Alligator mississippiensis: one gene and its partners. The protein of the gene in region 1 interacts with the protein of each later gene in a biochemical or structural test. Links are inferred from orthologs where the notes say so. Each region holds a gene or a part of one and is shown in the gene's direction. Other genes may lie near its edges. The genes, in order: SMAD1, ACVRL1 and SMURF2.

What was found.
Region 2: of the proteins of SMAD1 (region 1) and ACVRL1, one has a biochemical effect on the other in vitro, tested with the Homo sapiens proteins (2 studies listed by BioGRID). The link is inferred for Alligator mississippiensis from reciprocal best matches to the Homo sapiens genes SMAD1 and ACVRL1.
Region 3: the proteins of SMAD1 (region 1) and SMURF2 form a complex in vitro, tested with the Homo sapiens proteins (2 studies listed by BioGRID and IntAct, with this or other methods). The link is inferred for Alligator mississippiensis from reciprocal best matches to the Homo sapiens genes SMAD1 and SMURF2.

Annotation. Positions count from the first base shown.
Region 1 is NC_081825.1:101,105,008-101,112,824, reverse strand, and holds the start of SMAD1 (mothers against decapentaplegic homolog 1), read left to right. Parts: upstream 1-4,785; 5' UTR 4,786-4,979; exon of another isoform or gene 4,980-4,988; intron 4,989-5,152; exon of another isoform or gene 5,153-5,578; intron 5,579-6,683; exon of another isoform or gene 6,684-6,793; intron 6,794-7,817. UniProt on the Homo sapiens protein: Transcriptional modulator that plays a role in various cellular processes, including embryonic development, cell differentiation, and tissue homeostasis.
Region 2 is NC_081838.1:6,394,106-6,402,139, forward strand, and holds the start of ACVRL1 (serine/threonine-protein kinase receptor R3), read left to right. Parts: upstream 1-4,957; 5' UTR 4,958-5,477; intron 5,478-5,796; 5' UTR 5,797-5,944; intron 5,945-8,034. UniProt on the Homo sapiens protein: Type I receptor for TGF-beta family ligands BMP9/GDF2 and BMP10 and important regulator of normal blood vessel development. On ligand binding, forms a receptor complex consisting of two type II and two type I transmembrane serine/threonine kinases.
Region 3 is NC_081831.1:6,313,977-6,321,990, forward strand, and holds the start of SMURF2 (E3 ubiquitin-protein ligase SMURF2), read left to right. Parts: upstream 1-4,988; 5' UTR 4,989-5,130; coding exon 5,131-5,182; intron 5,183-8,014. UniProt on the Homo sapiens protein: E3 ubiquitin-protein ligase which accepts ubiquitin from an E2 ubiquitin-conjugating enzyme in the form of a thioester and then directly transfers the ubiquitin to targeted substrates.

The DNA of each region.
Region 1 (7,817 bases):
AATTCATCTTTAATAATTTAAGGTGCTAGAGGTAATGGATAAAGGAACTGGCTTATTTAAAATACAAACTTTAAATCAAGCTGGTCCTGTTGTTTGTTTGTTTTTTAAATAGAAAGCCCTTGGCTGCTTTGCAATGTCATTAAAGGGACTGTGGTGCTTTTTTTTTTTTTTTTTTAGTATGGGAGCTGACCAAGTAACTTAAAATTCCCTCTTCTGCCACTGTGGTGGTATATTTGGTGTACTAATAGCATGCCTGCTTACCAAAGAGATGGCTGAAGTTTAGTTAGGAAGTTGCATGCTCTTGAGGCAGAGGTCCAGGGCTAGAAAACTTGACTGTTACTCCTATCTCTGCCACAGACTCCTTTTGTGACTTAGGGAGATTATTTTACAGGCATTTATGAATATTTTTATATATGTGAGTAAGTAAAATTTATTCCTGTAATTTATAAAGCCTTGGCTATTCTGTGCCTCTATCTCCCTTGTGTTTTAAAGCTAAGTTAATATCACACCTAATGCTTATATACACAGGGAAATTTATAGAATAACTCTAGAGGTATAAGTATCCCCATATAGCTATGCCAGAATATATCTTCATATAAACAACCCCTTTGTTTCTACCCCACATTTAGGTCCCCATTCATTCATTTCAGAATTGGAGCATGAGTTTAATAATATTTGTGATGCACTTACATGGTCAATAGAAAAATCCCTATAATTACTTATGCATGTAGACCCTCAAATCAGCTCCAACTCCAGCTTCTGGAGCATAATCTTGCAACCTAGATGGAGCTCCTTTGATTCATAACCATAGTATGGCAAGATTCCGTTCACACAAGTTTGATTGCATTAATAGGTTTAGTTCATTGATTCTCAGCCAAGGTGCCACAGCAACCTGGAATGCCTTGAGATCCTTTCAAGTGTACCACGCGGTGCCACACAATGTTAGCACTCTCTGGTGTACAAACACATTTCACAAAATAAACCCACAGATTTCAAATAATACTCCCTTCCTAAAAGCATTCTATCCTGTTGTGATCTTTGTGAGTTCTTTGCAACACAAGAATTGCTGTAGTGTTTTCTGTAGTCAAAAAATCAAGTGAAAACTAACATCTGGAACTTTTGAAGGGGTGCCTTGAGCCCTAAAAGGTTGAGAACCACTGAAGTAATAGGATTAATTTGCCTGAATCAGCAATATTTCCCTAAGGAATGCTTAGTTGGGTTGAAGTCCAAAACATCTTACATACATGGGGGGAGGGGTGGGGGCTGAAAAGTACTATATACAGCCAGACTAGTATGGCTAAGTACAGATGGTCAAGAAGCCAGAGACAGAATCAATTCAATCTTCATAGCTTAATCTAAGATGTGTAGATTAAACCAATAAGCAAGTGAACAGACATTCACTTTTGATTCTGGAAATGCAGCCACACGTCCTTGCAGTGCCCAAAGCCAGAAGTGGAGGGGGTGCTATAACAGACCTCCTTCCTTGGCTGAAGCAGACAGCTTGGGCCAAAGCTAGCCTGCCCACCAGGGGGGCAGGGAGGGAATGGGGGTTGTGGGAGAGGTGCAAAGCATCCTGGGATTCTGGGACACTAAACTTGAATCTGGAGGGGGATCTGAGACAGAAGTACATAAGTTCAATAAACTGATTGAACCTAAACCTGTTAAGTCTGATATTACATCCATCCAGGTTTATCTTAAACCAATTTCAGCCATTCTGAAAGTGATTTATGTACACTGAACTTCTGTTGTGTTACAGATTTGAACTGGTTTTCAATCACTTATACTGGTTTATGTGTAATTTCTGGCTCTCACCTATTCATTGATTAATACCAATTCAAACTGTTGAGTGAACATTGAAAATCATAGTTATTTTTCATGGTTTCATAGAGACTGAATACCCTGCACATGGTAGCTATGTGGTACATAGTTGGTATATGTTGATGCAATTTAGATCACATAGTGTGTTTAAAGCAGACACTGGCTACAGGCTAAGGGTAGCAAGGCAACAATAAGCAATGAGCCAAGCTGCTTTCTGTTCCTGGAATCCAAGAGTAGAGGTCATCTAGGGCCCTGCCACACATTCAAATTAAAGCTGAATAGAAACCAGCAATAGAGTTGTTTACACACTTTCAAGAACTAACTTTATAGCTGGTTGACTAATTTTACAGCTGCATAGTCAATTTTATGTGTGATAGTTACTTTGCAGGTGTGGCCAGTTTAAATTTATTGTGCAATTCACCAGTTAATACTTTGCACTTGTCAGGGTCTTACTTTGCATGTGTGACTAGTCTACGTTTATTGCAGGATTCACCAGTTAATTGTGTGGTAATTACTTTGCACCTGTGGCCCAACTCATTTACATGTGAGTAGTTCACATTTCATAGAATCATAGAAAAGTAGGGTTAGTCCAACCCCCTGCTCAAAGCAGGACTATCTCCAACTAGATTATCCCAGCCAAAGCTTTATCTAGCCAGGTCTTAAAAACCTTCAAGGATAGAGCTTCCACTGCCTCTCTGGGTAACTTGTTCCAGTGTTTTACTACCCTCCTAGCGAAAAAATTCTTCCTACTATCTAACCTAAACTTCCCTTGCTGCAACTTGAGACCATTGCTCCTTGTTCTGTCATCTGCCACCATTGAGAACAGTTCAGTTTAGCTTAGTTTAATTTAGTTTAGCTCCATCTTCTTTGTAAGTACTCCTACAGGTAATTGAAAGCTGCTACCAAATTCCCCCCTCCCCTCAAATCTGCTCTTCTCCAGACTAAATAAGCCTGGTTCCCTCACCCTCTCCTCATACATCATGTGCCCCAGCTCCCTCACCATTGTGTAGGTCGTCTCTGCTAAACTCCCTAATTGGCTTACATCCTTTCTGTAGTGGGAGGCACAAAAATGGACACAGTACTCAAGATGTGGCCTCAGTAGTGGTGAAAAAAGGGGCACAAGGTTCTTTGGGTAAATCTGATATCTTTTATTAGACCAACTACATAGTTGGAAAAATTATTCTTTACAGGCGTTTAGGCACAAACACCTTTCTTTAGGCATGAATAGAGGGGAAGAATCAGTTCCCTTGATCTGCTGGCAACACTCCTAATGCAGGCCGGTATGCTGTTAACTTTTTTCACGAGGGCACACTGCTCATTTACTGCAGGATTTACTGGTTAATTGTGTGTGTGTGTGTATGTGTTATTTTTTGCAGGGGGAATTCAATTTATTGTGCAATTCACCAGTTAATTGAATGGTAATTATTTTGTACCTCAGGCCTTCTTGCTTTGTATGTGTGGCTGGTCTACATTTATTTCAGGATTTAGTTAATTGTGTGGTAACCAGTTAACAGTAACCAGCAGTGTGTGGGATAATTCTTTTGCATATGTGGCAGGTTTAAATTTATTGCAGGATTCACCAGTTAATTGTGGGTAATTAGTTTGCACTTGTGGCCCATCTTGCTTTGCATGTGTGCCAGTCTACATTTCTTGTGGGACTTGCTGGTTAGTTGAACAGTAATTACTGGTACAATTGGTCTACATTTATTGCACAATTCATGAGTTAATTGTGTGGCAGTGCCCTTCAAATTGTGGCTCACTTGCTTTGTATGTGTGGCTGGTCTACATTTATTGCATGATTCAGTGAATTACTGGTAACCAGTTACCATTTAATGGTGTGATAGTTACTTTGCATGTGTGGCTGGCTTGCATTTATTGCACGATTCATTGGTTAACTGTGTTCATTACTGTGCAGGTGTCCCAGTCTACGCCTATTGTGGGACTCACTGTGTAGTCATTACTGTGCATGTGTGGGTAGTCTACATTTATATTATGCCAGTGAATTGCTGGTAACCAGTAACCAGTTAATTAGTAGTAATTTGCTTTGCAGCTGTAGCCAGTCAGCACTTTCTGTGATTTGCTGGTTAAGTGCGCTGTGGTGCCTTTGCTATTGGCTGCGACCTTGCAGCTACATTTATTGTGGGCTTCCCCAGAGAATGGCATGGCAATTACTTTGGTGGTACAATTGGTCTGCACTTATTGCATAATTCACCTGTTAATTGCATGGGAATTACTTTACACTTGTGGCTCTCTTGCTTGTCTCCATTTACTGAGTGATTCCATGAATTGCTGGTAACCGGTTACCAGTAATTCACTCCATCATGCAGTAAACATAAGACTAGCCACCCGTGCAAAGCAATTGCCACATAGTTAACCAGCGAATCTCACAACAAATGGTGTGGTCATTAATTTGCATGTGTGGGCACTCTACATAAGTCAACCAGTGACTCTTGAACTGTGGGAATTGTTTTGCGTGGGTGGCCAGTCTATGTTTATTACTTGATTCGGTGTATTGCTGGCTACCAGTAGCCAGTTAATGGTGTGGTCATTACTTTGCACTCTACATCAACTGGTTATATACTGAATCACACAATCAATATGGACTAGCCAACCGTGCAAAGCAGTTTCCACGTAGTTAACCAGTGAATCTTGCAAAAAACGTAGACTGCCCACACATGCAAAGTAATTCCCATACCATTATCCGATAACCAGTAATGCAATGCACTGAATCACACACTCAATACGGACTAGCCACCCATGCAGAGCGATTCCCAAGTAGTTCACCAGCGCCCCTCGCAAGACGTGTGCAGCCCGCCCGCGTTTATGGCGCGATCCCCCGCGCAACATCCGTAACGTGTGTCCGTCCGGAGCAGCGTCCCGCGGCCGGGAGCAGCCCCCGCCCCCGGCCCCGCCCCGGCCCCGCCCCAGGCAGGGAGGCTCCCTCGCGCCTTTCCTCGGCGGCGGCTGGAGCAGCCCTGCGGCTGTGCGGGCGGCGGGGGAAGCTGGCCCGGCCTCCCGGCGGCGGGGCGGGAGCTGGGAGCGGAGCCCTGAGCCGGCGGCGGCTGCTGTGCAGGGCCCGGGGCGGCTCCGGCTCCGTGACGCCGCCGCGCGCAGCTCGACCCGGGCGCGGAGGAGGCAGCAGCGCGGGGCGCCCCGTCCCGGTAACCGCGGTGCGTGCGCTGCTGCTGGGCGGGCTGTGGGTGGAGGGAGCGCAGCTACACTTCACCTGACCGCTTCGCCTCCTGCTCAACCCCGGCCATGCCGGGATACCTCTGCAAGGGCCCGCCGCCACCGCTCCGGGTTTCCGCCGAGCTGCCTTTGTTGGGAGGAGGCCCGGGAGCTGCCTCTCCTCCTCCTTTGGACGCCTCGCCTCTTGCCCTGGCCCCATTGTGGGGAAGTTGCGGGAGTTGTGGGCAGCGCCACTGCCCTCCTTTTGTTTTGATTTGGGGAGAAAAACCTTTCTCTCCTCTTTTCCCTCAGCTTAGTCCGTCTGGCCTGGAGGGGGGGGGTTGTCTCTTGCTTTTTCTCTTTCCTCCTTCATCTCTTTCCTTCCCCCCTCCACAAGGAATCTGTGCTCCGAGGTCAAGGCGAGTTCACTCACAAAATGCTTCTCCTTCAGCAGGGCTGGATGCAGAGGGGTTTTCTCTCCTTGGGATCTTTTATTTATTTTTTTTTTTCTTCTCTGCCTTTGATGTGCTGGTGCTTCACAAGATGATGAGACTTGCCAGCCCTTCATCTTCTCTCCCTGCCTCACCCTCAGGTTCTTATTCAAGTTTCTGGGCATGCAAGCGGTCAGTCATGCACTCTTGCCAGGGCAAATCCTGCTGGATTTAGCCATGCACGTGTATGCAAGATGAGGGGAGGCGATGGGAGGCTGGGGTTCAGTCAAGACTGCTGTATTCTGCCCTTTGATACTGGTTTATCATCTGCAGGCAATGTGTGGATTGGCTTTTGTAGCTTGCTTAACACCATACATGAGTGTTTTTTTGCTTAGATGTAGGCAGAGACTTTATTTAAGTTTATTTGGGGGGCGGGGGAGAATAGATGCTGTGCCTGAGAATGGGTGCAACTTGTGACAATCAAGTGCTCCCCCAACCCTTTAATTTTTAATTTCCCCCCCTCTTTTTTCTTCCCCTTGCTCCCCCCCCCTTTATCAACTAGAGCAATAACAAATAGAAAAGATCGCTGCTCAGCTTTACTCCTAGGCATGTGCTTAGTTTATTGGAGGATAATTCAGGGGATCTGACATCTTTAGAAAATTGCATTTTAAAGAGAGGCTGTGCTTCAAGCAGGTTGTGGCTTAAAATCTGGCAGCTCTGTCTTTCTTGATTTGCTCCTTCCTTGAGTGTAAAACCTAGCTGTATTGTGGGACTTCTGAATATCATATAGTGTAGGGCTCAAAAGAGGCTCACCAAGCTGCGGAGACGACTCTTCTGTACCTGTGTCTCTGATTATGGTAGTTTTTCATGTGGCCAAGTGCCTACACCTCACTGTACCAATGAATGAGAATCGTGTGAAGGAACTTGCTGTGTTACAATTGATTTTAGTCTCATCTATGGTGCGTTAAATTTATGGGAGGTTTGCTTCCAGTTAAAACTGACAGCATAAAAATAAATCCATCTGAGCTGGAGATCTGTGTAGGGCAGTTGGTATAAGATTCTCCATTCACAGCTGGCATAACAAATATTATGTACTTGGTGTTTTGTTTTGTTTTTTCTTGACTCCTCTACAGTAATTGATTTCAGGCTTTCTTTATGCTAAATGAAACTTAACCTATTTTGGAATTCTTGTGATGGTGCTCAGGCTCTAATCCTGCAATTCATCTTGCACTGTAACTAGGGGTTTGAGAGGGACTTCTCAGGACTTGGGTGATCCAGGAGCCTTCTACCGCCTCCAGAGAGGATTAGTTCAAGGAAGCTCAGGTTACCCTAAACGGATTTGTCCTTGCTTTAGTTTTCACTGTTTCTTCCACTAGGTATGTAATCAAATACATTTTCCCCCTCTCTCGTCTCCCTCTCTACTTGCCATTTTTATTGTACCCTTGAAGATCTGATGATCTCACGTATTTAAAAAAACTGACTGGATAAACTGAAGGTTGAGGTTCTCTAGTTTCTGTGTTAATATTAACTGTCAAATATTAACACAGAGCTGATAAATTACTAGCATTTGAATTCTGATTATGTAATCAGGGCATAGTGAATAACATAATGAGGTGATATCAAGGTTGCTAAAACTGATGCTGCTTCTTTTACTAACTAGTTTTTTATTATTTTTGTACTAAAATCTGAGTCAATAGGTGCATGTTAAAAACAAATGTAGAACTCAATTAAAAAAAAATCTGGAAACAGTTATATTTAACATAGAGTAGGCGGGTCTGTGAAGTCCAAGTTGTGTGCATATATAAAAGCTCTCACTTGTGTAGCCTTACAAGGCTAATGGAGGCATCATCTCAGCTTTATAAATAATGTAAGTTGTGTATAATGTGGAGTCCCCTGAGACTGCAGAAAAAGCATCATTACCAGCCTTTTCAACGTGCTGGAGATCTTAAATTGATTTACAGCACTGTACTGGTGCAAAATGAGACATCAGGATGACATGGGGTCAACCTGTAAAAGTCTGTGATGTGAGCCTATTAGTTCAGTCATCATAATTAAACCATATTATGAGGGCAGCAAAGCAAGCGTCTGTGGCATAGCCCATTATGCTTCAAATATGGGTGGTGCAGTAGTTAAATAAAGAAAGCAACATATGTACAGTTTGCAAGATACGAAGAGGATTTGAAACTGGCACTTACAGCCTGAAGAAGAGAAATGTGTGAATATGTGCAGCTTGATTGTTAACCTCTTTCTGCAATGGTTATTAGCTGAAATAATAGAATTGTATAAACAGCATGTATTTTGTGGGGGAATTTAACTAAATTGTATTAATCATTTTCTGACCTGAAAAAATGATCAGTCTCTTCAGAGTGGCTACATAGTCTAACAACAAAGTGAAGAAAG
Region 2 (8,034 bases), on another chromosome or scaffold:
CTGGACCCCACAGCCCAAGGAGGTGGGCAAGCCATGCTTGCAGGGCACTCACTGTGCCCCTTGGGCCAGGGCCAAGACATGGGGCCAGCTCCTGCTGTGGGGCTGCAAGAGGAGGGGACATGTCTGGGCACAGTCCCCCATGAGCAGTGCCCTGCAGCCACAGGATAGGAATGCCATGTGGGTTACCCCAGCCAGCCCAGGGGCATGGGGAGGGCAGGCCTGGCCACAGGTGGAGAGGAGAGGATCCCCCCAGCTGCAGTAGCCCCCAACAGCTCAATGCAAATGAACCAGCCACCACCATCCAAGCCAGAGGCAGCAGAGCAGAGGAGATTCAGCGAGCCCTAGACAGATACCCCACGGCCCCCCGCTGCGGAGAAGAGGGACGGTTCCTGCCCCGGGAAACCTGTGGTCAGTCACACTCACTGCCCAGAACTGCAGACCTCCCCTCCCCACCAGCACAGACGGAGCAGGGACAGCCCCAGCCACATCAGCCATGCCAAGTCACGTGGCAGCTCCGTGCACAACACAACCCAGGAGTCCCGACCCTGTGCCCCACGTGCAATGCCCTGTGCCCACGGGATGCGATGCTCTCACTGTTGCTCTGGGAACATCCCGGGCTCCTCGACTCCCTGCCATAACCACCCAGCACCCTGCTCCCCACCCCGGGTGCTGGAGCCTGGCAGGCCTGCTGGCACAGTCCCTGGCAGCGCTGCAGGCTGTGCCGAGATGGCGTCTCACTGCCGGCTCCAACACGCCTTGCCTCACCTGCCAGGCTGCGTTCACAACATGTTTGAGCTGTCCACACACCTGTCGGCCCGGCAGCTGGAGCCACTTGAGGCCTTTCCAGGTGATGCAGACAGGCTGCAAAGCTCCTTCTGCTCAAGGTGACACCGGGGCTGCGGCCAGCAGGGAAGCCCTGCGGCCCAGGAAAGCCGGGCTGCTGCATCCCCCGGCCAAGCAAATAAGGAATGAAGTCCCAGAGCCCTTTGATCTCCATGGCCGGAGGAGAGGTAGACATGGGAGAAGAGGGGCAGTGCCCCGAGCCCACCCACAGTTTGCCCCCCATGCTTTGGAGGCAGGCATTGACTGCTGTCACTGCTGGCTCCTGTCATGGGGGGCACTGCCCCCCAGGCCCATTGTTGCCTGCGTGGACACTTTGCAGGTCCCCGGTCACAGCGCCTGGCTCAGCTTGGAGCCAGTGAGGCCAGGCCAGCATCCAGACACAGGGAGGGGGGCTGGCGCTCAGTAGGGGACTCAGCCTGGTCTGGCGCTGCAGGGAGGGGTGGCCGAATTCAGGAGCCTGGTGGCCTGAGGACCACCTCCTGCTGCCCTGGCCCTCAGGCCACCCAAGATGCCTGTGGCCAATTCACAGGGGTGTCCGGGGCTTTGTGCAAGGCACAGGGTGCCCAGGGGAAGGTGCTTCTGCATGCCCCCGGCCAGCCCATCGCTTCTCATTTCCTCCACGCATGGCTTGCTGCTGGTGCCAGCTCGCCGGCTCGGCACACATCTGAACTGGGGGCGGGCAGCACATGGAGCAGGGGAGCCGGCGCTCCGCACATGCAGTGCCAGGCGCGTTCCAACGGTGGGGGCGGGGGAGCAAGGCGCCGGCGGGAACAGGCTGCTTGGGGGCTGGGGGATCCGTTTTGCCCCGATTCTAGCTGCCCCCGACTTCTTTCAAGCCTCGCAGTCTCTCCAGCAGTCACCGCTAAGCACTCAGGAGGGGCTGTTTCTGGAAGAAGACCAATGTCCCTGTCCTAGGGAGGCTACTGCAGATGCCCTGTGCTTTCCCCATGGCGTTTTTGCACCCCACAGCGGTGGTGGGCATCTCCTGAGGTCAGCCTCGGCAGGGTGGAGGTACCTGGACTTTGCTGCTGGGCCCAGCCTGGCTGCTCACAGGTCTGAGCAGGGACCCCAAGAGCCAAACCCCGGGGCTCGGGTTGCACCCCTGAACGTAATCGCAAGGGATTGAAAGCAGCAGGTTGAAAGCGAGGCCTTGTTCTGCTGCCAGTGAACTAAGCAACCCCCTTCTGCGACTTGGTGTCCCCATGGTCCAGTGGAGGTCATGAGGAGTCACAGTGGGGTGTCTGGGAGATGCCCTGGGTGCATTGGCCCCCCTGGCTAGTTTTGTCCTTTCTGTGAAGTCCGGACCTTGCCGGCTCCCTCCCTACGTGCCGACTTCCCATTGGGAACTGCACGCCAGACGGGGGGTGGAGCGGGTTTGGGGTCAATGCTTAGCTCGACAGTCTGCTTAACTCTCTCACCCCACATTTATTCCCAGGCAACCCTGCTGCACAGAAATCAGTGTACGCCAGTCCTCAAAACACAGCCCACACAGGGCAACTCACAGTCCCGAGGCCTCTGCCCTGACCCCGAGAACCAGCTGCTGGCTTCGTGCTGCTCCCCCAGTGCCGCCGCGCAGTTTTCCTTCTCTCTCCTGGGCGAATTCCCTCTCCCGGCCTCGTGGTGCTGCTGCCTCCAGGTCTTTTGCCAGACCCTGGGAGAGTCCTTGGCTCAGTTCTGCCCTCGCTAACCAAACCCCCTCCCCTTCTTTCAGCCTCCACCCCCAGCTCCTCTCCCTAGGAGCCCTCCTATGGCCACCTAATCATCCTCTGCAGCTGGCCCAGGGCTCCCAGGCAGCCTGCAGTCACTCCTGACTGCCTGCCGCTGGCCATAGTCCCTGCAAGCCTGCAGCCTGGTGGAGGATACTTGCCGATGGTCGGGCCATGTAAGACTTTTGGCTGATTCCAAGGATTTGGAACTCGTTTGACCTGGTGCACAAAAAAATGTCCAAAAAAAAAAGCCTGCCGACTCCTCCAGCCTGGGGGCTCCTTGGGAAAAGTCTTCTTTCTGCTTAGCCCTCCAATCAAGAACAGGGAAATCCCCGCCCCCAGCCCGTCCTTGTTAAAAAATAGAGCAGCGGGACGAACAGAAGAGCCGACATCCTCTCTCTGCTCTGGCCGCGTGTGTGGGAGGAGGGTCAGCTGCAGCATGTGGCTGGGGAGGAAGGAGGTGCTGGCTCTGGGTAGAGACTGGCCTGCTGCGAGGCAACATTTGGGCAGTCGCAGCCTTTCCACCCCGCTCCCTTCGGGCCTGCTGGCCCCAAGCCTGCCGCTGTAGCTGGGCGAACGCTCTTGGTCATCTCCGCGCCCCTAAGCCAGTGATTCTCAACCGGGCTTCACAGCCTGCTGGGCGCTGTGAGATCCTTTCAAGGGTGCCCAGAGGAATCCTGAGCTCTCAAACCCTTCAGTCCTGTTGGGGCCTTTCTAGGTCTTTGCAGCAAAAGAGTGGTTTTGTTCTTTGTCTGTAGCCTAAACAGGAGCGGAAGCTCGGACCTGGCGTTTTCTGACGGGGCCTCGAGTCTAACGAGGTTGAAAGCCACGGCCCTAAGCCAAGGCCACATGCCCGGTCCCTTGCACGGGCTCCTGTGACACGTGAGCTGTCCAGAAATGGCAGTGGGAGGGTGGCCCGGTGTCAGACAGTCGGGACTGGAGCAGAGATGGTGAGAGCGATAACGTGTCTGCGAGGGCGGGCGCAGACTTCCTCCCCTGGCGGCATGGCAGCCGGTCCTTCCCTAATCAGATTGAAGCTGCCCGTTTCCCATCCCACAGAGCCATGAGATTCCTACCCCTGCTGCCCCACCCTTGAACCTGCCGTTGGCCGGAAATCTCCCGGTTGCTAAAATATACAAGCATCTTTCACGGACAAGGCTTGCATGGAGCCATTGGTGGTGCTTCCTGTTGTTCGCTTTTTAAGTCTAAGTCTGAAGCAATCCGCAAGAGAGAGGAGAAGTGCGGGGCCGGCCGTGCTGTGCCAGGGCTCCGGTGAGAAGGGGGCATTTGCCCGTGGGAGAGTCCAGACTCCCGGGCTCTGTTCCCTGCTCTGTTTGGGAGGGCTGGGTAGTAGCTACAGCAGATGATGGTGGGGGCAGACTGCTGGCTTCCCTTCCTAGCCCTAGGGATGGCTGAGGGGTAATGCATCAAGGAGAGGGGTCCAGGACTTGAGGGTAAATGGTTGCACCTCGCGCTGCGCGGGGAGGGTCCAGGCAGCATCAAGGCTTGGGCTGCTCTTCGAAGCGTGACTTAGTGCGCACGTGGGGCTCGTCCTAGTGACCTCATTCCCCCGCACAGCGTGATGCCCACTTTGCTGTTGCCGCCCTCTTTACCCTGCTGCTGGGGGCTAGGGGCCAGGGAGGTACAGCCGGGATGGCTGAAGCCAGGACCGGGGCTCTCGAGTGCGAGCAAGGAAGAGGAACAGGAGGCCAAGATGGGGAAGACACCAATTGACCCACAATCGTGACTCAAACATGGAAAGGGGAAGCGGCGTCTCCGGGCCCAGGCAGCCCCTGTCCGCGGTTCCCAGGCCGCAGCTCCGCCACAAAGCCCACGGCACATCTGGGGGGAGGCGGGGAGTGCTTCCTTCCTCCGAGAGGACACTGGGTTTAATACCCGGACTCTGGCAAAGGTGGTGCTGGGGCTGGCGAGGGGCACGGAGTGTGACGGACCTACCCAGCCCTCTTGGCACCCACGTAGGACCCTTGCAGTCCACGGCACAGGAGCAAGGCCATGCCGGGGCACTGTAGAGCCTCTGCCCCACTGCTGAAGCTCAGCACATCCCATTGCACCCCGGGGCCCTGGGAGCGTGGCTCTGCATCATCCCCTGCAGCATGGGGCCCCTCAGTGCTGCAAGCCCAGGAGCCAGCGCGGGTGCAAGAGGGGAGGGCGGTTTGTCTCTGCCAAAGCCATAGTCCCCTGCGCCCCATCTGCTCCTTCAAGAGACTGGATGTGCTTGCCTTTGTCCAAGTGGCTGGTCTGGGTCTGAAAATGAAGCAAGGGAAATCCACCCGCCCATCCCATGCCAAGCCTATGGCAGGACAGGGAGGGAGGCCCAGGAAGCCGGGGCATAGTCAGGATGGAGTTGGGGCCCGGTGTGTGCGGGAGGAAGGCAGCCTGGACGGGATCTGTGCTCAGCAATAGGAAATGCTTTATTAGCTGGGAGTGGTGGAGACAAGCCAGGCAGGAAGAGGCAGTAATAAGAAACATTTTTTGACTTCTCCCACATCCAGGGCTCAGAGAGCTTGCCAAGCAGCCGCGCTCGGACACGGGGACGGAGGCCGGACCCCCTGGGGCTGGGAAAGGCAGTCCAGGCGCACCACCCCACTCCCCAGCTGCGGCTGGCGGGACACCAAAGCCAGCCCGCTACCCTGCCCTGCCCGCTTCCCGTCTGCAACGCCAGGAGGGGACAAGGAGGAAGGGGGCTGCCCCATGACGCTGCTTCAGGTCGGAGCTCATAGCGCAGGGGAGAGCGGCCCGGGGTGAGCCCAGTGAATGTCCCGGGCGCTGCTACCGGCGGAGGCTCGCGTTTGGGAAGAGTCGCCAGCCCCATCGGCCGCAGAGGCGGGCAGAGCCCCCAGAGCTGGGGGTCCCTGCAGCACCCCTGCCCCAGACAGTGCCATCCAGGAGAGGGAAGACCACCTGCAGGTGAGTGTGAATGCGCCGCACACTGGGTTTTGAGGCGGGTGCGAGGCTGCTGCCCCAGAGCGAAAACTCAGATCCAGACGGGCCAGATCAGGGTTGGCATCCCTGAAGCTCCCTGGTGTCCACCAGTGAGGCCCGGGCCTGCATTTGCTCCCCACAGCCTCCATCACTCCCTGGGTCGCACGCTACCCAGTGCTGTTTCATGGCATCCCCTAGGGCTTTCATTACCGAGGTGCCCCTCACATCCACCCCAAGGGAGGAACCGCATGGAGATCCCCTGGGCTTGCTCATGTGTGACATATGTGCATAACTCCGTCCTCAGCTCCAGAGCAGCCGCCAGCAGTGCTGGAATTGCTTCTGGCCGCTGGGGCCAGGCTCTGGTCCTCGCTCCAGCAAAGTCGGCGGGACGTCTCCGGGTTTGCACTGGTGCAGCACAGCTCAGACTCGGACCCCGCTCCCTCATTAAGGAGGTGAGATCATATCTAACAACGTTAGATATCAGCTACGCTGCTGGCAGGCTGGGGGGGCAGCGAATGTTGTGGGGATGTTGTGAAAAGCTGCAGGAGAAAGGTAGGGAATGATGGACCGGGACCGGGTGAAGTCACTGAAAGAGGAAAATGATGAAGGACATAGAAATTCATATGGCATAGCATGGCATGGCGTGGCATAGCATGGCATGGTATAGTATGGCATAGTCTTGGTGTGGGACAGAAAAGCCTGAAGCTCCTTGTGCCTTTCCGAGTGACTCCACAGACTGAGTCAGCGCGGGACAAAAGCCTTTGCGGCAGCTGCAGATCCTGCTACGGGGCAGAGGGGGGCAGGATGGGATCCAGAGGCATTGCCCAGTCCTGGGGCCCCCGGGCTGGGGTACATGGCTTGGTCCTGGCCCTCTGGCCACAGAGCAGAGGCGGCTGTGAGTGCAGGAGCTCGGAGATGCCATGGAGGCAGCTCTCGAGAAGCCATTTGCTTCTGTTTGCAAAGAGCTTGCAGGGTGCTGAGCCCCATCCAAGAGCCGGCTCGGAGAAGTCTCCCCTGCTCTCGTCCAGGCTCAGAGAAAATCAGTATTTCCCAGAAAGACTGAAAACAAGGCAATGGGTGGGAAGAGGCCGCTCGACCCCTTCTTCTTTAGCCGGCAAACCTGTTCACCCTCCTCTCTGAGCGTGCCCGTCTTGCAGGAGGACACAGAGCCTGGGAGCACACAGCTCTGCCCTGCTGGTCCCCTCCCAGCCCTCCCAGGAAGGTCCCCACAGGGCGCAATAAGCCACCGTCGGAGACTCAGGTTAGGAACAGAAGTCCAGCCTGATCGGATCGGGCCCTGACCCCAGGCACTAAGTTGTCTCCTGCTCAGGAGCACGGCTTGCCCTGGACGGGACCCCTGCAGGGCAGGAACGTCCAGAGGAAGATGATGTCTCTGCTTCACGGGATCCCCTAATGCAGCTCCAGAGCCCGCTGTGGTCCACAGAAAAGCCCCTAGGGATCTGGGAGGATTTTTGATCGAGTCCATAGAGCCTGGGATCTGATTGTGGAGGGCCTGAGCAGGACTGGGGCCACTCAGCACCCCTGGAAACAACCCTGGAGCCACGGCGCGGAACCTTCTCAGATCAGTCGTCTCTTCCCCCTGCAGCAACCCCAGGGCGCCACCATGCACGCCCACGCGGCCGGCATTGCTTGCGGGGGGGCTTCGTGGCCACTGACTCCAAGGGAAAAATAATAGGGAACTGGGTCATGGGAGCTGCATCCTGGCTCCAAAAACACAGAAGTAACCAGAACCGCAAATGGCAGAGGAAGTGCTGGGCTTGTGACCCAGAGAGTGGCAGGGGGAGGAGGGGAGCTGAACATCCCTCTCCCGCCCAGGGCAGGGGGTGAGACGATCCCTGCGGGTCAGGGCTGGGCAGTGGAGTGCGAGCGCGGTGGAGAAGGGGTTTCCGTCCCCTGGGCCTTCCCTCGGACACCGGTCCCCAGCACAGCCCCTCGCAGACAGGTGACGTTTGGGTTGCCCAAAGGTGCGGCAAGGTCTGGGGGAGACAGCGAGCAGGGACGGGAGGTCAAGAAGAGGCAGCGAAAGGGCTGCCAGCCTCCCCGGCCCTGTCTCCTTGCAGGCTTGGAGCACAGCTGCCCTCGGCCAGCACCGAGCGCACCTTGGTTTTAAAAGGAGCTCTAATGAAGCACAGTTCATCTGTGCGCCTCATATAAGCATCTTCCATGGAGAGCGCTGCATTGCCCTGCCTTATTATGTGATTATACAGGGCACCTTAACATAACACCTACATGCTTAGCACACTGTTGCACTATAAATAATAGCTGCGGCACATGGGTGGAAGAGATGGAATTAAGGTTGCTCTGGAAACCTTATCTCCGATTATCTTCACCCAGATTCTCAGCCCTGTAAACCAGTAGAGCTGCCTTGGCTTCAAAGGAGCTCGAACAGTTGGGGAGAACCGGAGAAGCTGGTCCCTTGATTTATTTATTCAAGGTTCAAGGAGTCCCAGACAAGGAAATGTCACCCCTTTTGGCCCAGGCGGTTAGTGCGTGAGGCTTGGCGGGGCAGTTTCTGCGAAGG
Region 3 (8,014 bases), on another chromosome or scaffold:
GAAAGATGATCCAAAGTAGCTTCAAAATTAGGGGGATCTAATTGATTAGACAGTTTACTCATGTAGAGGAACAAGATAATTCAACAGGGAAAAGGGTCATTATTACCCTTAGAGTGAAGAGAGGTTAGCTGAGATAACAGGTAGACTGTAATGAGTTATAAAGCCATTATCTCTGCTTAGTCAATAATTTTTAGTGTTCAGTAAGCTTATGGATTTTTGTTTCCAGGCCCATCTTTCAGAGGTTAAATTTATCTATTCTCTCTCCCACCTATATTGGTCTAATAAAAAGTATCACTAAAACCTTGCCTTTCATACATATCTTGGACCATCACATCTACAATACCACCCCAACTGTATTATAATACCAATGATCTCCTGCAGAGCTAGCAAATACAGGAGGAGATAAAATGACTGTTTTCCTCAGCCCTTCCTTGTCTGTAAAACACCGAGGTGGCATCCAGGTACAGCAAGATATTATAACGAACGCTAGCTAAAGGTTAGAAAATTCATAGCAAAGCTAAAATTCAGTTCTAAAATTAAAATAGGTTAAACAAACTGGATACACCACAAGTAGTGGTTTTACATTTTGTCTTTTTTTTTTTTCAGTTTTGCAGTGGTCAGGTAATGTTGCTATATTAGCAAACTGACTCCTGTTTGCTTTATATAGCCACTTTTAGAAAGTATAATGACTTGGCCATTTCAATTTGCAACAGATTGACTTTAGTCTGACCTTCAATTATCTAGACTGAATGTCTGCTGTTTAAACCCCCCCCCCCCCCCCCCAAATGCCTTTGTGGTACTATAGCTCCATTGAATGGTTTCTAGTAATATTGTACATTAGCTGCAAAATTAGCAGACCTATTGGGACTTATTTGATACAAGGTTTGAAGTCAAGGGGGGGTGCAGAATCGAATCCAGTTTTCCCGAATCTCTTCTCCTCTGTTCTAACTCCATTTTTCAATGAGCTGCTTCTTGTTTACAGCACAGTGCATTGCTTAACGTGTCACTAGGAAGGAAGAAAGATGCATCTTTAGCCTGTATCAGCTGACAATGATTTTTGCATTATATGGTCATTGGATAGAGGTAGTCTTGGAAGCAGAGGCTGTAACTGAGGACCCTCCCTTCCCAGGTAAGTGGTTATGCTTCTTTTTCTCTGACCCAGTTCATCTTGTATACTTTTCAGAAGTTAATAGCTTCTTCAGGATAGAGAGGGCCCCACCCAGAACTGCATGGACAGGCAGTCAGGGATGTGGTTTAAATATCCTTTGGCAGCAAAGAGAACTGAATGAATCTTCCACTTCCTGGACAAGTGTTTTAACCGCAAGGCTCTAATAAGAGGGCAGCAGCAATGCTCTAAAAGAAAGTGGTGGTTTCTGCCAGTGTACGTGAGGATGCTGAAAATACCTACCCACCTAGCTCAGGGGTAGGTATGAGCTAAGCACTAGGCCCTTCTACCCTCTCAAGCCTGGGACAGTTCTGGGAATGAGCAGAAGTGCAAGCTCTAATTGCGTGGGCACTCTGACACTATAAGGCACTGTGGCATTTAATCACCGCCAGTTAGGTGAAAGAAGGGTTTTTTTTCCAGGCTCTGTCTTTTTTTTTTTTTAAGTTAGTGTTAAATTTATCCTAATATTCCATTCTGTAATGTTTTAAATCTATTGTACGATGCCAATCCTACATTGAGATCTGTTAGTGCAGACCCCCAAGCCTGTGCCGAGCCCCGTTAAATTCCAGAGAACTTCAGTATGGTTGGCAGCTAGTAACTGTTGGCCTGACATCGGGTCTGATCCAAAGCCTATGGAAGCCAATTAAAGGAATCCTATTTACTTAAATGGGCTCTGAATCAAGCTTTTCCAGAGATGCTGAGCACCTCTAAATGTCAGGCCATGAGTTATCTGAACAGACAGTTTTTAAATGTTTTTGGCACTTTCAAGTACTTTGGCCAAGTCAGACATGGAAAAAAAATGTTACTTTTATACTTCTTAGAAACTAGAATTTCTCAAGCAATTAATCAATCCAATTTTGTACTGTTTGAAAAGAGCTATTATGCATGCAAGTTTCATAACCTTTTTAATGATGCAAAGAACCAGACATCTGAAACCCTGCAAATGGAAGAGCTGCAGCATTTTTACTGAGGTCAGCGTGACCCAATGGAATTACATCAATAGCAGCATCTCGTACAATGTAGAACTTATAATTATTCCACAGATAGCACGCGAGGAGCACCCCGAGTGTAAAAACCTCTTCTTAAAGTTCTCGTGTAGTTCCCAGACACATCAAAAAGGCATGTTCAGGATCAATTTACTATGCAAGTTGTAGGCTGAATTCGATGAGGAAGAGTTGCTTCAAGGAACATATTCCCCAGAAGCATTTTGCAGTTTTTGGCAGAAATCATTGTTGTGTAGGGCATATGTACTAGCCAGCAACTTTTTGGTGTTTGTTTCTTATTTTTAATGATCACTCGATCCTCAAACCTAACAGACTGCGTGGGTTTAAATAGATATATTATTAATTCCGTTGTGGCATGATATGCTAGGCGCTCTCTAGACATATAAGGAACAGACTGTCTTTTTGTTTTGTGTTTGTAGAGCACCTACTACAAGGGTCCTGTGCTGTGACTAGTGCTCCTAAGTGCTGTGATAATACAAGTGATACTGTGGAGTGCCTCAGCAGAATGGGACCTATGTCACAAAGCCCTATTAAACTAGCTGTCTTGGAAGACGTGTCAAACATAGGCAGCGATCTCCTACTTGGCAGCAGAGGCATTGGGTGTTGGCTGCACTCAAGGCTGGCGACTTTGACTGGGCTGTGCCAACGTTCCTGCTGGGACAAAAGCTGGAGGTTCCTGGCTAGCGGGTCTTGCTCCTTCGCTCAGGGTCAGACCGATCACTATATTTGGGGTCAGGAAGGAATTTTATCTTGTGTTCAGATTGACATAGACTGTGGGGGCTTTTGCTTTCCTCTGTAGCGGGGGGCATGGCCCTCTACCCAGGATCACTTGAGCATGCATTGACAACGCTTCATAGAAGAAGGATGTTGGCTGCTGTGGTTCCTCTGCTCGGCCTGTGGCAGGTTAGGGTGCTAGGTCTGCACTGTGTCAGGGTTTGCGGTAGGGTTCAGATGATTGATTGCACAGGGTAGTTTGGATAAGGATGATCCTGCCTCAGGCAGGGGGTTGGACTAGATCAGTGTTTCCCAACCAGTGGGACTTGAAGGTCATGTAGATGGGACTTCAACTCATTGCCCGATTGAAAAAAATCAGTTGTTTGCACGTCAAATAGGTGAATCAACAGATGTCTCCAACAGTGCAATTTTGTGGGGTTTTGTTTTTATCGTGGTAGGACCAGGGTTTTTTGACCAAATGGTTGGTGGGGCATAAGGTGCAAAAGGCTGAGAACTGCTGGACTAGATGACTAGGGACCTAGTTGGACGAGGGACCTCTGGAGGTCCCTTCCAGCCCTCCTGCTCTATGATTTGGTGATCGTCTTGAAATGGACCTTTTACGATCATCCCGAAATGGACCTTTTACAAAAAGCTGAGATTTATTTCTTCTTGTTAACTTGCCTGTCTGTGCCCTGCTGCTATTGTAGTGCCCCCTGGTGCGCTACAAAGCCTGGACATTTCTGGAGTAGTTCCCGCAGCATCTGGAAGACGGAAACAAGAAGTTAAATTCGAATATAGACTTGGGATGCAAGCCGATTCTTATCTTTTTGGAGAACGGTGATGGCATATGGGAACTATCTTGGCTGAAAATGCATCTACATCGCAGATAAACAGTCTAAGCCCGAACGGCCCAATGACCATACACAGCCCTTCCTTCCCGCGATTTCCCAGCTCCTCCAACAGTCCCGCTGACCTGTGGACCTACTGAAGGAGCCAGGGACCCCTCAGTCTCCATAGGGGCACTTGCCTTTATATCGGGGCCTGTAAAACCCTTTTAATTTTGCATCTTTCCTTTTTTGAGATAGAAACCCGTGCCTCCCCATCTCCCTGTTGATTGCAAACATCTTCCTCCCATTTCTATGTCCCGGGGAAGTGCTTTATAGCCAGACCTCCCCTCCCTTCCAGCTAGGGTGGCCGTCATCGAGGACAGTCTGGTTGTCCTCTATTGATACGAAACCCGGCGCCTTTATGTCCTCTATTTTTCTCTTTGAGGTTATTTTTCAAGAGAAAAATAGAGGACATAAGGGTGTCCGGTTTCGTATCAACAGAGGACGGAGGTCAAGTGTCTGTCGTAGGGCGGCCGTCATCGAGGACAGCCCGCTCGCCCTCTCTTGATACAAAACCGGACGCCTTTATGCCCTCGATTTTCCTCTTGAAGAGCCACGTGAGATTCGCCCGTTCCTTCCCTTTCCAGCCTCAAGGAACGAGGTTGAAGTTTGGATGCGACGTTTGGTACAGAAAGGTCACAGGCGGCTGTCATCAAGGACAGCCCGGTTGTCCTCCATCCCCTATCAATACCAAGCCGGACGCCTCGACGTCCTCTCTTTCTCTCTTGAAAAATCATCTGGAAGAGAACATAATCTTCCAGAGAAAAACGGAGGACATCAAGGCATCCGGTTTCGGTATCGACGGAGGACAGAGGTCAAGCGCGGATACGACGGTCAGTACGGAAAGGTCACGGGCAGACGCCCGGTTTTCCAAAACCAATCTCGAAGAGAAAAACGGAGGACACGGAGGCGCGGGGTTTGGCACCGACAGAGGACGGAGGTTGAGTCTCTGTCATCGAGGCCAGCCCGGTCGTCCTGTCTCGATGCCGAGCCCGACGCCTTGATGTCCTCCGTTTGTCTCTTCGGGGTTATTGTCTCTTCAGGATTATTTGTCAGGAGAACAGCGGGGTGCGGGGCTGGGGGCCACACGGCTGCACCCCCTCCCCTCCCCTCCCCCACCCCGGGCAGGGCGAGGGGCAAGCGGCGGTTGACCCCGCCCCCCAGCATGGGAGGGGGCGGGACGGGGGAGGGGGAGGTGCCTCCTCCTCCTCCTCCTCCTCCTCCTCCCCGGCGCCGGCCCCGCTCATGGCGCCGCTGGGCACATCCGGGCCTCTCCTCCTCCTCCTCCGGCCGCCGCCGCTGCCCTGAGCGCCCCGCGCGACTCCATTAGGCCGGGCCCGGCGCGGGGCGCGGCGGCGACATGTCCAACCCGGGCGCGCGGAGGAACGGGCCCGTCAAGCTGCGGCTGACAGGTGAGGCGCCGGGCCGGGCCGGGCCGGGCCGGGCCTGTGGGCGGAGCGGGGCGGGGGGGGACCCGCCGCGTGAGGCGAGCCGAGCCGAGCCGAGCCGAGGGCCCGGCCCGGCGGAACTCGCCCCGAGTGCGGCGGCCTCTTTTGTCCGGGCTCCCGCCGCCTGCCCCCCACCCCCAGCCCTGTCACTTCTGCGAGTCCCGGAAAAATTATTTAAAAAAAAAAAATAATAATAATAATTTAAAAAAAAATTGTTGAATCTGAGGAAAAAAAAACCCAAAAACAAACCCCGGTTTTATTTTGTCGGCCCGTTTCGTGCAGTCAGAGCAGCCCCGCTCGCGGCCAGCTCGTGTCGCGCCGCGGCAGCCAAACTCCTCTGAACCCGACTGGGGCAAGGATTTTGCGAGCGAGGGGGTTTTTTTCCCCCCCTGAGGAGGAAGAGCGAGTCTTTTTAAAAAAAAATAACCTGGAAAAGTTTGCAGGGTGCGGGGGAACCCGTGTGTTTTATTGAGCCATTTATTTAAAACAATCCGTGGATCTCACGAAGGAGCCGGGGCGTCCTCCTCTCCTGCGTAAAGACGCCGCAGAGGATTATGAGTCTGGGCAAAAAAAATAAGCCGCGGGGCGCCGCGTAAGGAAGCCGGGCGGGCGGGCGGGCAGTCCGCAAAAGGAGTGTGCGTTTTTCGTTGTGTTGTCTTTGCGTTCGCTTTTTAACGAGCCCAGAAAGACGAGGGCAGGAGATAGGGTCTCGAACGAGCATCTTCCAGCGTTAGCAGCTGTCCGGGGAGCGACCGGAGATGTTTTGGGAAACGTCGGCTTGTCTCGGGAAGGACCATTGGAGGGGATGGAGGTATTTTGGACCGGGTCTGCTGTAACCTGGTTGAAACGTCGCGTCGCTTGTTATAAGGAAGTTGTACGCGCTTTGGGAAAGTTGTTAGAAGCACTGAATTGAATGGACGTGTTGTCAGGTCTCGCGTCTCTTCCCAGGCAAGTACTCGGTGTGGTTTTGATGGTCCTTTTCGACTGGGAAAAGCAGCGCAAGGACCCTTGAGTGCTCGCACTGACTGGAGTTAAAATGCATATGGTTTTTTTTAAAGTAGTTTACTCTTCAGATCTGCCCCATGGTGTATAATCCTAATTTTCTTTGTCTTTATGAAACTAGCAGTCTTCTGTTTTGGCTTGAACGCTTCAAGGATTCATTCGATAATCAATGTGTAATACTGACTTATTTTCTGTTTGTTATCTCTAAATGAGATGGTATAAATGAAAAAAAATGGATTTCAAGAACTGGATTCAATTAGCATTTTTTTTTTTTCAGGACATAAACATTAAAGGTTTAGATAGAAAACATAGTTTTGACTGACTGGATAAATGGCAGGGTAGTGTTTGATGCGAGTCCAAGAACTGATCTGGAGCTAATGCCCAACCTCTTGGTCCATCTCGAGGAGCCAAATAAAATATTTAACCTAGGCCTCGTTTTGCAGAAAAGGTTGATTCTTTGTTGGGACCTTAAGTGAGTTCTGAGAAATGTTTGGCATACCTTTACACTAAGTGTTTAACGGTTTATTTAGGTCTGGGTTCCAGAATAGAGGAAAAACCACTGTGGTGGCATACTTCTAGTAAGTTTGTATTTAGCTTACAGTGCATCCCGGCTGTTTCTTCTGTTGCTTTTAGCTTTATTTGTATGTCATAAGTATCCCCTAATCCCTTAATGACACACATCGGAGTCTCAGGCACAGCCCTGAGCCAGAAAGTTGCTGGATAGTAGACAGTTACAAAAATCTGCAAAAGTAGCCTGGTGAAGATTTCTCATGAGAATAATAAATGCTGGATTTCATTAAGAACGTAACCAGTATAATTCAAGCTAGTGTCAGCTCAGAAGTTGGTCATAGGTTGTGTATGTAACTGTGTTTCCCAAAGCTTTCCAGTCTTGCTACCACTTCCTCAGTTCTGTCCCTTGGACCAGTAGAGTAGACTGGGCTTCTGCAGCCATGGATGTTTTTTGCCAGTTTTATCTAGTCCTTAGAACACATTATGCTGCACTGATTTAAAGACTCCAGCTTTCCCCCCACTTCAGTTTTCTGATGTGATTTATTTTTTATTTTTGTAACTAGTCAGAACTTCCATGATTTCTTGAATGTGGAAGTGAATCTAAACTACTTGAAAACTGGCTCAAGCTGAAACTTTGAGTTTTCGGTTGGAATATACTATTACAGTAGGAATATCACAATGTTTGCTTGGAATACAGTATTAATACAGTGCAGTGTGGGTAGGGAGAATCTTTTATTCTTTGAGGACTAGACAAGCATATTGCATACAGCTGAAAAGTTGGTTTTCCAGTAGTGTCCAGTAAGTACATTTGGGCTGTAATTTATGATTTACCTTTTAAAATAGTAAATGCAGTGACTTTAAGTGCCTTTACTTAGGGATATATTTGGTAGCTATGTTGGTCTGAGACAAAAAGAAATGCAAAACTCTCTAGAACTCTTGGTTCAGAGATGATATCTTTTATTAGCCCAACTAAGAAATCGCCAAAAAAAATCTTTTTGTACTTGCGAGGAGAATATCAATCAAAATGACACCAGTAATTTTTGAAACCTAGAAAAAATCACAAAAATGTAAGTGAAATCTGTTAATTATTGTGGTATAACCTCATACATATTGGGGAAAGGTGACGGACAGACTGGATTGATCACCTTTGCATAGTCCCTTGTGGTTACTTGCCAACTTGTGTGGTATTTGTGGCATAGCATAATTGGTAAACTTTTCCAGAGAGAAAACTAGAAGTAGAATAACAGTCCCTTGTGGGTTAGGAATGAGAAACAATTCACACTG